2 linked regions of the Arabidopsis thaliana genome follow. The protein of the gene in region 1 interacts with the protein of each later gene in a pairwise test. Each region holds a gene or a part of one and is shown in the gene's direction. Other genes may lie near its edges.

Region 1 (8,298 bases):
GAAACACCAAGAAAATGAGTTTGGTTCAAAGTTCACAGTGTCTTCGGTTTTTCATGTTCATCATTAATGGGCCCCTTACTCGGTTACTCCCATCAATTGTGTCTAGTTTCAAAAATGATAGTATCGATTTTTTTGACATTTTTTAGTGGGATGATAGTATCTGGCTATCTCTTTATATATATTCCTTCTGTCGCATTTTATGAAATGTTTTAAGTTTTTTTTTTGTTAGTTTCAATTTATTAGACACTTCATAAGTTTTTATTTAAAATTCAAATATATTTAATATTTTATGATCATTTATATTATGCATTATCTCTTATGATTGCTTGTACTATTTTAAATTGAAATACTTTTTGTGATAAAAAATTTCTTACGTGTGCATCTCATTATAAATAAATGAGACAAAGAGAATATAACATAAAGACATAATACATATGCTATCAAAACTTTTAACAAAATTAGGAAAATAATTTCTTTAAACAAATTTTATTTTAGTTTTTTACGAATATCTATATATTATCTAAGGGTAGCTAACAAATTAAAGAAAAAATGATTTTAAACACTTAATTTATAAAACTAATTCAAAGGTAACGTCTTGCCTGTCTTTAACCATGGACTCCCCATTTATAGGTTTACGATCGCTTTGTAAAGTTTACTCCCCTCTTATGGCTAGCTTGCTATTTTGAAAAAGTTGCAAAATTGATCGATGGACTATGTTACTTTTTGTCCTCATTCGAATGCTATTGAAAACCACTTGAGCATGTAATTAACTCATATTAAAATTAGTCTAAATTAAGAATGTTTATCATAAATTCTTTTATTTTTTTGAATAGACCCCCACAAAAAAATTAACTATGTATAGAGTGTATATAAAAGTAAAATTAATTGTTTTACATTTTCTCACTTTATACCACAATATTATTATTTCTGTTAAAGAATACCACAATATTTTCAGAAATTAAAATATCAGTATCAGTATCACTACCACTCAAAGCGTGCAACATTGTTGACAGACAAAGCTATTACCCCGACAACGTTATTAAGCTTAGATTGATCCTCACTCATCTGGTTTTACTCTATCGTCTCTAGGTGTAGTCTGTGGTTATATATGTGCTAACTAATATCTTCAGAAAGTAGAGATGGCGATAGAGTCAAACAGACTGAGGGAAATATATTTGTGAATCCTGAGAAAGTGAGAAGATATTATACGATTTTTGTTTTGGGCTCTCAAATCTAGAAGTCATATAACCGAGCAATTTGGATAGCGGTTACCATGAGTACATATATACATAGTTACATACCATTATATATGTAATCGTACATATTATATATAGTTGACCTGGTAATTATTGATTGATATTTGGTACGTATACATTCTTACATATTGGAAGTATATTGTCTCTAACGATTTAAATAAAATTGGCCTCTCGTCACATATGCCACATTAGCATGTTAGGCGTAAATTAATTGTGGAAGAATTAATGTCAACTTATTAATCAAAATGAATCAGTGTATCTAGTCTTCTCTAATTAAGGAAAAACTAATCCAGTATTAAATCGACCAACCCACGGAGTTCAAAAAGAAAACTAATTAAAGAAAAAAAAAAAAGGAGTTCAGTATAAAGTATGGTTTCTATTGTTTCTCTTATTGAAAAAAATCAAGATAAAAACAAAATAAATTCCGTAACTAATTTTTCCTTGTAGTAAAAGTTATATATGTATACTCTTGCATGCTCGTTTACAACTTTACATCATGCTTTGCCAACCCCTTTTGAATTTGATATCAAATCAGAAAAAAAATATTTGACATATTAAATTAGGTCCATATTATTTTTTTCCTAAATATATGGCCAAGAATAATCGATTTAACACAGTTAACGTATGTTACCCATTAATTGTCAATACTAATTGTTGGCAGCAAAAAAAAAACACATTATTGTAGGTATTATAAATAAAAGTATGCTAATTAACTTTCTTCTGACTTTCTTACTAATATTTTTGATTTAAAAAAAAAAATTCAAGCTTAACTTCATACTAATTAATCTTAGAGTACTATTGTATCTCCAAATTAAATCGTACCACCAAGTTTTGTTTAGGTAACAATCCTTAAACGGAAAACTATGATTGACTTTCTTATTAATTTTGAGATACCAAAAGAAAATACGGACTAATCTAGACTAGCGATCGTAGACATTCATAATTTACCTACTATTCACAAAAAAAAAATAGTATCTAAATGAAACGGTTATTCGAACAAGAAGAAAAAGAAGGGAAAAGTTTGGTTTGTTTTCCCTAAGTGGATAACAATGAAACCAAAAGAGAATATTTGATAATAGTGTCCCATGAGACACCTCACAACTAAGATTTCTTGTAACTTTGGTTTTTCTTGAAACTTCCCACCATAACTAACTACATATATTACACAACCATGGACCCAATTAATCTTACAATATTGTAAGAAACTCTAACTTGCCATCTTACATCCTTAGCTACATGCATGATTTATATTATTGTATTTCCATATATCATATAAGCTAATTTCCCACTAACTATAAATATATACATAATTAAACCTATATATGTATCTACACACACCGATCTCCCTCTCCCTCTCCCTCTCCCTCTTTATCTTTCTCTTCCTCCTTTGCTAATAAACTTTTCTTTGAACCTTACACGCCTTGTTGATATTACTCTCTTAAATATATATTTTCGTACATTAACACAGACATATATAAAGCTAAAGATTTCTTCACGTAATGGGTTTGAAAGATATTGGGTCCAAATTGCCACCGGGGTTTCGATTTCATCCAAGTGATGAAGAGTTGGTTTGTCATTATCTTTGCAACAAGATTAGGGCCAAATCTGATCATGGTGATGTTGATGATGATGATGATGATGTTGATGAAGCTTTGAAGGGTTCTACTGATCTTGTGGAGATTGACTTGCATATCTGTGAGCCATGGGAGCTTCCTGGTAACATATATCTCTACTATTTCTGATATTTAATTCTATATTTTTTGGATTCAAACTGATATATAGTCATAGGTTATATGAATTTGTTTAACTATCTTTTCACTCCTGGCTTTTCTTGGGTTTCAAATTGCTTTCGTAAAGATTCTTGAAACTTTCCATTGGAAAACAATATTCCTGAAATTAATTGAACATAAAGAAGAAAACTAATTCTTGAAATCAGATATTATCATCCGCGTCTGTTAATTGTTATTGTAAATCTTAACCTATAAACTTTTTAGTATTATTACAATTAGATGATGTTTACTTATGTGTCTAATTATGTTTGTCAACTTAATACATATCTACGCATTTGCATATTTACAGATTTATGATATGCTTATACTTACAAACCGAATCTTCTTGTTCGTGATTCTAGAAAATGAATGAAAGATCAAATATCTTTTAATTGTGAAACGGGTGATGAGTTCACATAAATGCTAGATTTTAGACTGATTCATTAATTATGATCATAAATCATAATTGCATTAATATTAGTGTAAACATTATCCGGAGTGTCATGAATCATGATTAGTTGAGATACATGCTAGCTTTTTAATAATATGTTTGCAATTATAGAATAAAGATCTGGAGGCTGTACAAAAGCAGCAAAATATGCAAAATCACAGCTGTCGTTATACTCGTAAATCAGATGGTAAATTTTAATGAATAATTATAGGTGCACTTACATCATATCAAAACATGATATATATATATATAGATATATATGTGTGTTCTTTGTATGTTTCTAGTGATTTTCATTATTTGTTTGTGGTTCTTTGTTTGATGATATACCTTGAGAAGTTAAGGAAGCTTTTTTAAAAGGGGACCGAGAATCCTGTTGTCATCTTTTTATTTTTCTTATCTTTTTCAAGTTTTTGTTGTCTTCGTAATTTTGACTTTTGGGGACTTTGTTAAATAAGATAACTTGCAGATTATAAAATACAAAGTTAGTTAATTAGTTGCATTAATGAACATTAATATAAATGTATACTAAAAGATTAACTAAACAAAAAAGTAGGCTTTGTGTGTAAACACGAAGACCTTTTTTTGCCTCATATCACAAGCAACTTTAGAGACTCAAGAAACCTTTAATTATTTACATGACCAGTACGATCTTGTTGTTACTATAGTCGAATATATGAATAAATAGTATAATTAACTAAGCAATATACATATAATATTCTATTTTGGATATGGTTTATGATAATTATGTTTACAAAAAAGTAATTGTGGTCTATTACTCTTCTTCTCAATTATGGCAAAATAAAGGAATCTTTTTAAGTAAGTAGTCATCACATTATCTTCTTGATCATCTTCTGTAAGGATCAAATTAATGTGAAACTGATAGGAGGAATGTTTGAGAGAGCAATAATTTCCTCCGCTGAAGTCAAAATCGTAATTATTTTTTTGCCAAAACTAATAATATAATGTCTCACATCCTCGTCTTGTCTACATCACACAAGTCATATATCACCACATTAACCTTTGACATGTCACTGTTTCTATATCGAAAGCCTATAAACCCAATTCAAAAAATTAATTAATGTTGAATAAATTGGTATAAAATCACCATAAAGTCACCATAATTCAAATTTACTAGACGCTTTTATATATAATATTTAGAATACGATTTTTTATGTTTAAAAATAAAATAATATTTAGTTAGTATTGTGATAGACTGATAGGTATCTTGACAAACACTTTTAAGAATTTACTGATGATTATATATCTCTTGTATGTTGTGTATAGATGTGGCAAAGTTAAACGCAAAGGAATGGTACTTCTTCAGTTTCCGTGATCGAAAGTATGCTACTGGATATCGCACGAACAGAGCGACAGTAAGCGGATACTGGAAAGCAACAGGAAAAGATCGAACGGTGATGGATCCACGTACAAGGCAATTGGTAGGGATGAGAAAAACACTAGTGTTCTACAGAAACAGAGCACCAAATGGGATCAAAACTACTTGGATCATGCACGAGTTCCGTCTTGAGTGTCCTAACATCCCACCTAAGGTACTTGGTTATTCCCCAACAATTGGTCCTTCTCTCTTTGACACTACTAACCATAATTAGTAATCATCATTTCATAATAATTACGTCTTGATAACCATAACTTGCAACGTACCTAAACTCACGACATGTGTCTATTCGTGGATGTCCCATGCATAGATATAGATACCAAATTAATGGTACCAGCGTATTGGTATTTTATCCCAAAACAAATTTGAAAAAGAAAAATGAGATCATACTTTTTCTTTCTTTTTAGGTAGAAAATCTCAATAAGTTATCTCACTATAAACATATGAATCCATCCTTTTAATTACTTTCAATATTTATTTAGAACTTGTCAAAAAATTGTCGTAATCCATTAATCCATCATATTTATATACATCCATCCAATATCATATAGTCTATAGCTGTATATTTTGCACCTCACGAACTTTAGTCTGGACTTACGAAATCTGATCATACTATATATACACAAACATTGTGAGGAATCATGCATGTGTATTCAATTAAAATAGAGATTTTTCATCCATTTATTTGTTTGTTTCAGTCGGCTATACCTTTTTAAACTTAGTCACTTAACTACTATGTAAAGAATCATACACTTAAATTCAAAACGAATTGTCAGATGAAGAGATTAATAATCAACATCTCTTAATTACACTAGTTTTGGTTATTTCTGACGTCCAATCTAGATTCTATACATATGTTTACTCTCCGGATAGTTAGTTATTTTTGGAGTCAAGTATCTAAGCATTAGTGTATGTATATATGTACGTATTAACGTATATATGTATGCATGGGTGAGCATGATGAGATGACAGCAAGTTAAAAGAAGGAATGACGAATATATGCAGATAAAACAAAAAAACAAAATAAAAATTGAAGAAAGAGACAAAAGTGGCTTTAATGCGTGTTTGGTCATTTGCATGCACGAGACCGCACGTAACGTAACATTTCATGCATTTTTATATACATACGTTTATTTGATTATTTTTTAACGATGTCCTCTCGTTTTCTGTCGGTATGTGGACACAGGAAGACTGGGTCTTGTGCAGAGTGTTCAACAAAGGCAGAGACTCATCGCTACAAGACAATAATTATTATAACAATGATAATCAGACGCAAAGGCTTGAAGTTAATGACGCTCCGGATCTTAATTACAACAATCAGTTGCCACCTTTGCTATCATCCCCTCCTCATAATCATCAACATGAGAAGATGAAAATCCAAGTTTGTGATCAGTGGGAGCAGCTAATGAAGCAGCCTTCAAGGACCACCGGCCACCCCTATCATCACCATTGTCATCATCAAACCATAGCATGTGGTTGGGAGCAGATGATGATCGGTTCGCTGTCATCACCTTCGAGTCATGGCCCTGATCACGAGTCCTTGCTAAATTTGCTTTACGTCGACAATAACAACAGTGTCAACATCAGTGGTGATCATCATCAGAATTATGAGAAGATTTTGTTGTCATCACTAGACATGACGAGTTTGGATCACGACAAGACATGTATGGGATCATCATCGGATGGTGGTATGGTCTCTGATCTTCACATGGAATGTGGTGGATTGAGTTTTGAGACCGAAAATATCCTCGCTTTCCAATGAACATAATTCAAGGGGTTCGCCAATTTGTTGATTCGTGAATTATACAAACATTTTATCTATAGATTTATCACATTATCAAACATGTAAGTTGTGTGGCATTTGGGTATAGGGTTTGTGTGATTCTAGGTTTTTAGGACGATGTATGTTGTTATATTTAGCGTGTTTTTAGGATTTATTCTCATTTTAAAATTATATGAAAACCCATTACTATGAATACAATTAGTTTTCTTTGTTGTAAATAATATTTTAGATTATCATCTTTCCTTTGCATATTATATTTTCTTTTATAGCTCGATAGAATCATTTGCTTACAATTTTTATATTTCCCTAACAGAGAATATCATTCATATAGTAAAACTTTTTTCAAAAAATTATTAAATCAAAGATGGAGGAGTAGTAACGAGAAAACAATAATGGAGACCAATTGGGATGATTGGCATTTGAGCAGCCGATGAAGGTTGTTTTTTGTTTTGTTTTTTCGGCTTCCCTTTTTTTATATAGTTTCGTTAATAAATTACAAAAACTGTATGAGCTAGTGATCAGGAGATGAAAAGCAGCTCTTCCAAGCTCTCTTATATGGATCATAAGCCAAAAAAAAGAGAAGAATGATACAGTTTTTCCGTAGCTTAGCTTTAGAAGCTAAAGCCTAAAGAAAGAGAGAATAATCTTTGGAGGCCATGCTATTTCTTGTTACGACATAGAATCCAACACAATTTTTCACTTCAAAAATTGGAACTAATCTACACTTTTCCCCGCAAGAGTAATCTAGGATAACGTTTCCAAGTGACGGAACTTTAATTCGTTTGGGCCTCCGTTTAGGCCCACAGAAAGCAGAAAGCCGTATTTTGAAAAAAAAAAGAATAAAGACCAAGTATATATACGAAGCTCAAGCTACAGTAGATGGACACAAACTTATGTTTTGTGGAATAGACGAAAAAACTGGCGCTATATTATAGTATGTAACTCGAAACTTCCCTTTTATTTATGAGAAGAAAGTGTTATTACAAGTGAGGTGCCGCAGACACATATTTTACACGTACGTTAAAGGTAAAGGGACGTGATTACAAACTGACCATACTTTATTAAGAAAAAGAAAAACGTTTTGATTTAAGCCTCGACAATCTCCTCGATCAACTGTTGTTGTTGCCTACCGGCAGCGCGGGTCAAAGTGGTCTCAAGTGTGTTGAACTTGATCTTCCTAGCTTCCTCGGGAGAGATCTGGAAACCATTTGATATGACCTCCAATGGCAATGCCCTCAAGAGCGAGGTTCTACCCGCCAAAGTGCTGATCATTGCGTTTTCATTAGTTTTGAAAGAGATCCACTCGAACTTGTTTCCGTGGGACTGGACAACGTATGCGAACCCTTGTGGGATGACCACGAGCTGTCCCTTCTGCACCTGTTGGTCCAACACGTTCTGTCCGTTGTCGTTGACCACTTGGATCCTTCCTTGTCCTCCAGTGCAGTACAAGATCTCGTTAGCGTTCATGTTGTATTTAGGAAGCACCATCGCATTCTGTAACATTTGACAAAACATGTGAACACGTCATCCGTCATATAGAACTTCCAATTTTAATATGTTTTGCTAAAGAAAAAAAAAAGGAATAAATATCTATCAAATTCATTTTTAAAACATTTGTATACGTTCTTAAATAATTTAGGATA
Region 2 (8,552 bases), on another chromosome or scaffold:
AATGCACTTTAAATTTGAATATTAAACATCTTCATATTAAAAATAGAGTCATTTGGAAATATTATTAATAAAACTATTTATAAAATTAAATAGTACAGAATTTATAAAATGTAATATCATATAATTTATCCATATATGGCACGCATTCTTACCTAGTTTATCCTTAAATTATCAAGAAAAAAACAAATTTAAAAATATTTTCTACATTTATGTTAATAAGTAAATTTTACTTAAGTTAGGAAACATAGTATCAAATTTCTTATTTTACTTAAGTTAGGTTTTGAAGAATTAACCTCGATTTGTATCTATCGTGTTTTTAAAAAATGAAAATTGACATTTATCCTTAAATTTATAAGATATATTTGTAAATTGTATTGTTCTCATTAGTATACCCTAATCACTTTTCTATCTCTCTATAAATACCTGTAAATCTCATTCTAAAATAAAGTCAATACATTTAGCCTCTATATGGTACCAAAGCTTACAATTCTAAATGGTATAAAGAATATATATGATATATTGTGAAAATGTTGGTGCCACTTACCTCGGTACCAATCCGGTTTTCTATTCTCGAATGAACCATATATATAGCACTTAATTCAAGCTGGAATGCTTCAGATTACTCATGTCTCCATTGGTGATCAGTTAGCAAATACATTCACTAAATCTTTAGCGAAATCAATATTTCAAAAAAAAAGTTCCAAAATTAGAGCTACACGAGTACTTCCATACTAAAAGGACGTATAAAGAATATACATGTAAACCATATTGTTATATCCTAATCATTTTTTTCTATCTCTTAAATACTTGTAAATCTTAATTCTAATAAAGTTAATGTATTCGGCCTCTATAAAATTTTATTTTATATATACTTAATAAGTTATTTTCATACTCCATATGTTTCTTTTATTTGATTTTCTAGAAAAAAAATGTTTCAAAAAGATTAATTTTATAGGTTTTCAATACAATACTTATTAGTTATAATTGATAAATTGTAAACTTCAATAAAAATTATTGAATATTATTGGTTTAAAGTTATTAAAAATTTTAAATTATAAAAAATAGTACATTTAAAAAACAAGATTTAATATGTCTTTTTTTAATATTTATGTTTTTCCTAAAAAATCAAATAAAAAGAAATATTAAAAATATTATTTTCCTTTTTTTATTATTTTTCTTTTCAAATATCTATTTTCTAAATCCATATTATGTTTTTCTTTTATAAATAATCTCATTTCGCCATGGAGAACACGAGTAATTCTCCTGGTGTATGCCTAAAAAAAAAAGCAAAGATTATAATATGAGTATATATAATTATATATGACGTAACCTGCGAGATGTTGAATTGTCCACATTGTAATTGTCACGAACACTTAATTAAATCTTGCGAAAAAGAGATCTCAAAAATATCGCGAGAAAAAGAAAAAAAGGATAATATGAGAAAAGCCAAACGAAGAGTGCATCGAAAGCTGAGAGCGACATAATAAAGGAGAGAGAAAAATGTGGGGACCAGACTGGACGTGTGCACAGAATATTCACACTATTTGAATTTTGTTTTCGAATCCGCCACTCTATCTCCAAATCAACTTATCACTCAATTTGATAATAACTTAACCTACCTCTCTTATAAGGAAGCCTACTTATCACCGACGAAGACTCCGCTTATATCTGATAAGTCGGTAGAACGATGTCTCTGTGCAAAGAAGAACGCGTCCAAGAAAGCGAGGTCTAAAGTTTCTCAATCCCCCAATCTTCTCCTCCTTCTTTATATATTCTCTCTCTCTCTCTCCATTTTTCTCTAAAAGCTAGAGCTCTTCAAAACCCTAGAAATCCTCGAAATCAGAGTCTTTACCTGGGCTCGTGTCTTCAGAGCTCGGATTCGTGTTTCTTTCGTCGTCTCTCTTCTTCGTTTCTCGTCAGATTTGAGATTCGTTGAGAATGTCGTCGTTGAGTCGAGAGTTGGTGTTTCTGATACTTCAATTTCTGGAGGAAGAGAAATTTAAGGAATCTGTGCACAGGTTAGTCTATTTATATGGTTTGTTTTGTGTTGTGTTGTGAGAGGCTGAATTTTGGGATTGACTGATTTGTAATTTGTTAAATATAGGCTTGAGAAAGAGTCAGGATTCTTCTTCAATACCAAGTATTTTGATGAGAAAGTTCTAGCTGGAGAATGGGATGATGTTGAGACGTATTTGTCAGGTTTTACTAAGGTTGATGATAACAGATACTCTATGAAGATTTTCTTTGAAATTAGGAAGCAGAAGTATCTCGAGGCTCTTGATCGGTATGATTATAAGCTGTCTTATTTGTTTTTTTACTCTTGAAGATTTGTGGTTTTAGAGTTTGATGTTCTCTGTTGTTACAGGCAAGAGAAGGCAAAAGCAGTTGAGATACTAGTGCAAGATTTGAGAGTTTTCTCCACTTTCAATGAGGAGCTTTACAAAGAAATCACTCAACTCTTAACTTTGCAAAACTTTAGGTATGATATATTGAATTTTGATCTCTCCTTGTTGATGTTTCTGTTGTTATGGAAAGTAGGAATATGAGACTTGGTTTAGGTTCAGTCCAAGTCGAGTTCGTGATGCTTTGTAGACTGTTTTTGTTTGGATGTGAAAGAGGGTGTGATACTCGAGTTTCTCTCTCGATTGTTTGCGTTTTGTGGATTGAAATTTGACATCAATGATTTTCATGAATCTGCAGGGAAAATGAGCAGCTTTCAAAATATGGAGACACTAAAACTGCTCGGGGCATAATGCTAGGCGAACTTAAAAAACTAATTGAAGCGAATCCACTTTTTCGTGATAAATTGATGTTCCCTACTTTGAGATCTTCGAGACTGCGGACTCTGATTAATCAAAGGTGTGTTTCTTTTTTCTTTCCTCATGACCATTCTGTATGTTGCAGATGAGGTTTGGATGACTTCGTTGTTGGATGATTCATTGTGCATATGTTCTCTTGCAGCCTCAATTGGCAGCACCAGTTGTGCAAGAATCCTAGGCCAAACCCAGATATTAAAACTCTATTCACAGACCACACTTGCACACTTCCGAATGGTCCTCTCGCACCTTCAGCAGTCAATCAGCCTGTTACTACTTTGACGAAGCCAGCAGCTTATCCGTCACTTGGACCTCATGTTGTAAGAAACCTCGATGTTTGACTGCTTTAATCATGTTTTTTGAATCTAAATTAATCTTAATGTTTGTGGAATCTGTATTACATGTAGCCCTTTCCACCTGGTCCTGCTGCTGCTAATGCTGGTGCTTTAGCTAGTTGGATGGCTGCTGCCTCTGGTGCTTCTGCTGTCCAAGCTGCCGTTGTTACACCTGCCTTGATGCCTCAACCTCAGAATCAAAGTTAGTTTTTGACGATCCTCTAGATTTCTAATCCTCGACTTATCAATAACTATCATTTCAGTTTCCATCAAAAACTTATTATTTTTCTTCCAAAAAGTGTCAATCTTGAAGCGACCAAGAACACCACCAGCAACTCCAGGTATAGTAGATTATCAGAATCCTGATCATGAACTAATGAAGCGTCTCCGCCCTGCTCCATCTGTGGAGGAGGTAACGCGAATTCTTTTCTTTTTCTGGAAAGCTGTTTATATAATTCTTGCATCTTCTCAAAATTCTAAGCATTTATCATTTTCCAGGTGACATATCCTGCTCCTAGGCAGCAAGCTCCATGGTCGCTGGAAGATTTGCCAACAAAGGCAGCTCTGGCGCTGCATCAAGGGTCCACTGTGACAAGCATGGAGTTCTACCCTATGCAAAACACGTTACTTCTTGGTATGGGGGTTTGAAAAAAAGAATACAAATTCTAAACTGTGTTTGAAGTTATATTTCTGTTATCTCTTATTTGGCTTTCTGAATGACCGTTTGAATGCCATCAGTTGGATCTGCGACGGGAGAAATCACATTGTGGGAACTTGCCGCTCGAGAGAGGCTGGTTTCAAGGCCATTCAAGATATGGGATATGTCTAATTGCTCACATCAGTTTCAGGTTTGTCTTTACAGCTAAGAAGTTTTTAGTTTATGTGTTTGATGTATAAAGGCGGAATTCAACCAAATGGCTATGAGAAGTGTTGGAGATAAAACGTATCAGCAAACTAGTTGCTGTGCAAGATTCTTATACTTGCCTTTCTTTTGGCATCATTCAGGCTTTGATAGCTAAAGAAACACCGATATCTGTCACTCGCGTTGCATGGAGTCCGGATGGAAATTTCATTGGTAAGCTTCCCGTCATGCATTGTTGGATTTTAATTGTATGTTGTCTATGGTCTCTGGTCTCAGTCTCTTATTGTGCAGGGGTTGCGTTTACAAAACATCTAATTCAGTTGTACGCTTTCTCTGGACCTAATGATCTTCGCCAACATACTGAGGTAAGCATACTTGTGATCTGTACGAGAAATATTGCGATGTAATAATATCCCACTGAGACTAGATCACTTTTTCACAGATTGATGCCCATGTCGGTGCTGTGAACGACTTGGCTTTCGCCAATCCAAACAGACAACTATGTGTAATTACTTGCGGAGATGATAAATTAATCAAGGTGAGATAAAGAGTCACAAAGTTTCACTGTTAGATATCAATGCAGCTGGCTAACTTGATCAATGTGGAACAGGTATGGGATGTTTCTGGTCGGAAGCATTTTACTTTTGAAGGCCACGACGCTCCAGTTTATTCCATTTGCCCTCATTACAAAGAGAACATTCAGGTGCGGCAAGGATTGAATCAAACTATATTTTACATCAATTATTATACTGTTTTACCAATCCGTTTGAAGAACAATAAAGTAGACGACACATTTCATATAGTATTATCTTGCCTATGAATTTCTGTTCTTTACCAAAATACATCTCGTTCTTATTTGGATTTCAGTTCATATTTTCAACCGCCATAGATGGGAAAATAAAAGCCTGGCTTTATGATAATCTGGGTTCCAGAGTTGACTATGATGCTCCCGGTAAATGGTGTACGAGGATGCTTTACAGTGCTGATGGTACTAGGTAAGATCTTAAACTCATAAACATTTCCCTCTTCTATACCGCTTGTTCTTCACTCCTCAGTTTCCAAAATCTTCAGATTCTTTTGTTTACTCCGGAGGATACTGAGTTGTGTCCTTGAGTTTCTAATCTTATCTTTCTGTTTTAAGTTTACCTTTTCAGTGCTTTCTGATGTTTTTTCCCCCTTCAGATTGTTCTCTTGTGGAACGAGTAAAGATGGAGATTCTTTCCTAGTTGAGTGGAATGAAAGTGAAGGATCAATTAAAAGGACGTATAAAGAGTTTCAGAAAAAGTTGGCAGGTGTGGTTCAGTTCGATACCTCAAAAAACCATTTTCTGGCTGTTGGTGAAGATGGACAAATCAAATTTTGGGATATGAACAACATCAATGTTCTGACTAGCACTGATGCTGAGGGTGGACTTCCGGTAAGTCCCAAAGATTCTTTTTCCCATGGCTTGTTGCTTGGATGTTCGTCTTTTTAGGTTTGCATATAACTTGTCCCAACTTCAGGCTCTTCCCCATTTGAGATTTAACAAGGACGGCAATCTTCTAGCCGTTACTACGGCAGATAACGGATTTAAGATCCTAGCTAATCCAGCTGGTTTCCGATCTCTTCGAGCGATGGAAACTCCAGCTTCTGAAACGATGAGGACTCCAGTTGATTTCAAAGCTGTAATGTTTCTCAACTTTGTATTACATTTTTTCCCTTTTTTACATCCACTGTCATTACAAGCTGTCTCGGTTTACACACTTTGGTATATTCTGTTAGGTTCCTGGTGCTCCTGTTGCGTCTGTCAATTGTAAAGTTGAACGAGGCTCTCCTGTTAGACACTCACAAATGCTGGTAAAATCACTCATTAAATGCTATGTTTCTAGCCATTTCTATAATTTATTATTCTGTTCTGGATTTTCGGTTGTAAATGAAGTGAACTTCCATTTGTCGAAATTGTAGTTTACTATTCTCTGACTATAGTAGTTGACTGTTTCCGATTTTTTTGTCATGTTTAAAAAAAATATTTACTAATCTTTTTTTTCTGAATATCCTCAAGAATGGAGTTGATCCCTCAAAGTCGAGAATCGATGACTCAACAGACAAACCAAAATCTTGGCAATTAGCTGAAATCTTGGACCCTTCCCAGTGTTTCCAAGCTACTTTACCCGATACCGCTGGTTCTTCCACAAAGGTTTGTGCAGTTATCTTTCTCAGAAAGTTGTTGGATTTCTATAAATGTTTTGAAATTGAGGCTTAATTTTCTCATGCTGCGTGGGAAAGCAGGTTGTTCAGCTTCTGTATACGAATTCCGGTGCTGGAATCTTGGCACTAGGTTCCAATGGTATCCAGAGACTCTGGAAGTGGGTTCCCAATGAGCAGAACCCTAGTGGAAAGGTAATCGTAAAAAAGAGTTTGAGAGAGCTTAATGCATGCTGTCTGCGGTTTTAAAGAGTTAGAGATAGCTTAATGCATGCTGTGTGCGGTTTTATTTAAGTACTGTTTATTATGCAGGCAACTGCTACTGTTGTTCCTCAGCATTGGCAACCAAACAGTGGTCTTCTTATGACCAATGATGTGTCTGGTGTAAACCTTGAAAACGCTGCCCCATGCATCGCTCTCTCTAAGAACGACTCATATGTCATGTCTGCTGCTGGAGGAAAAGTCTCGTTGTTCAACATGATGACTTTTAAGGTATATATTATCTATATGAACTTAAAAAAAGCCACAAGATTTCTAACTGAAAATGTTCTCACACTAATCTAGTAAACTCTTTTGGTTGTTCTAATTTCCACAAAAAAACTATTGGCCTTATAGGTGATGACAACATTCATGCCGCCTCCACCAGCATCAACGTTTTTGGCGTTCCATCCTCAGGACAATAACGTCATCGCCATTGGAATGGAAGACTCTACGATTCACATCTATAATGTCCGAGTGGATGAGGTAAGTAGTTTCTAGTACTAACCATTGCCACTTATGTAGTCTTTTTGATCTATGACAAGGAAAAACTTGTGAACCTTACGTTTTTTGAAGAAATGGTTCTCATAGCTTCACATATGTTTTACAGTTTAATTTTCCCCTCACTGCTAATGTTGCCTTAAAACTCTATCAACGATCTGAAACTTGCATATTGTGTTCCATCAGGTCAAATCAAAGCTAAAGGGTCACCAGAAACGCATCACAGGCCTAGCATTTTCTACAGCCCTCAACATCTTGGTTTCATCTGGTGCTGATGCACAGGTGTGTTATGCTGCGTCTTGTTGTTGTTGTTGTTGTCCTGTAGTAAATATATCTCAACTGAAGGGAAAAATGCTTGATTATTTTGTGTTGTTTCCTTGCTGGATTTTCTACCATTAGACTTATCTAATCTAGGAGGATACTTATTCTTCCTGTTGTCTTCTCTTAGATCTGCTTTTGGAGCATTGACACATGGGAGAAGAGGAAATCCGTTGCAATACAAATGCCAGCAGGAAAAGCCGCCAATGGAGACACGCGGGTTCAGTTTCATGTGGATCAGTTGCGTATTCTGGTAGTCCACGAGACACAACTGGCGGTATTTGATGCTTCCAAGATGGAATGTATCCGACAGGTATCTATGACTATGATGAGATCATCTCTGTAAATCCACTTATATAAAATGGATCATCTCTGACCTGGCATGTATATATGAAATGCAAGGTCATATATACATATTCTTAATCATTATTTTGAAATTTGTAATGACTTATGTTCTCTTGTTTTCATGTCTCAGTGGATTCCACAAGACTCGCTGTCTGCTCCTATATCTTCAGCGGTGTACGCATGCAACAGCCAGCTGATCTACACCACTTTCCGCGATGGTAACATTGGAGTATTTGACGCGGACAGTCTCAGATTAAGATGTCGTATCTCTCCATCCGCCTACTTGCCTCAAGGGTAAGTTTATCCAACATTTCATCAGATTCTTATTTCTAAATCACTGTACTTTGTAAGGTTTGGTACATGAATCTGTATAATAGACTTAAATTGACTTCTGAAACATGAGAAATTGGTATATTTTCATAAGCCAAAATAGTTATAAACTCTTCTCATTGATTCTCTTTGCTTTCACAGGAATCAAGGCTTGTCTCCTCTTGTTGTGGCGGCTCACCCGCAAGACCCAAACCAGTTTGCGGTAGGTTTGAATGACGGGTCAGTGAAGATGATGGAACCGACAGAGGGTGAAGGCAAGTGGGGGATGATTCCACCCTCTGAAGCTATCAATTCACCATCCACCACAAGCAACCAAACTCCAGAACAGTTACAAAGATGAACAAACCAGAATGGCTTCCTCATAATCCATCAATGTAACTAATCTCGATTATTTATAGGCAGTGTCATTAGATCTTCAAATGTAGCCTTAGTTTCAAGATTTCAAGATTTCAAGATATTGAAAATTGGTAAGAAATAAAGTTTGTATAAACTACCTGCAAATCTCTAATGAGTGAATCAACAAGAAACTGAAACTACACTAGGACTAATACTGACGAAAACCGATCAACCGTCATGGCTCGGGTAGGAGAATTCCGTCACCAT

What was found. The genes of interacting proteins can lie anywhere in the genome.
Region 2: the proteins of NAC074 (region 1) and TPR3 interact in a two-hybrid assay, tested with the Arabidopsis thaliana proteins (one study listed by BioGRID).

The regions. Positions count from the first base shown.
Region 1 is NC_003075.7:14,089,061-14,097,358, reverse strand, and holds NAC074 (NAC domain containing protein 74), read left to right. Parts: upstream 1-2,456; 5' UTR 2,457-2,755; coding exon 2,756-2,972; intron 2,973-4,760; coding exon 4,761-5,026; intron 5,027-6,058; coding exon 6,059-6,634; 3' UTR 6,635-6,870; downstream 6,871-8,298. Other genes in the region: CRU3 (cruciferin 3), read right to left, coding at 7,742-8,149.
Region 2 is NC_003076.8:9,508,650-9,517,201, reverse strand, and holds TPR3 (TOPLESS-related 3), read left to right. Parts: upstream 1-1,794; 5' UTR 1,795-1,938; coding exon 1,939-2,018; intron 2,019-2,104; coding exon 2,105-2,284; intron 2,285-2,365; coding exon 2,366-2,479; intron 2,480-2,700; coding exon 2,701-2,859; intron 2,860-2,961; coding exon 2,962-3,136; intron 3,137-3,223; coding exon 3,224-3,353; intron 3,354-3,450; coding exon 3,451-3,563; intron 3,564-3,649; coding exon 3,650-3,785; intron 3,786-3,889; coding exon 3,890-3,999; intron 4,000-4,156; coding exon 4,157-4,378; intron 4,379-4,455; coding exon 4,456-4,551; intron 4,552-4,623; coding exon 4,624-4,716; intron 4,717-4,880; coding exon 4,881-5,008; intron 5,009-5,195; coding exon 5,196-5,430; intron 5,431-5,515; coding exon 5,516-5,677; intron 5,678-5,774; coding exon 5,775-5,849; intron 5,850-6,054; coding exon 6,055-6,189; intron 6,190-6,281; coding exon 6,282-6,392; intron 6,393-6,509; coding exon 6,510-6,689; intron 6,690-6,812; and 11 more. Other genes in the region: AT5G27020 (uncharacterized protein), read right to left, coding at 8,521-8,552. UniProt on the Arabidopsis thaliana protein: Transcriptional corepressor. Negative regulator of jasmonate responses.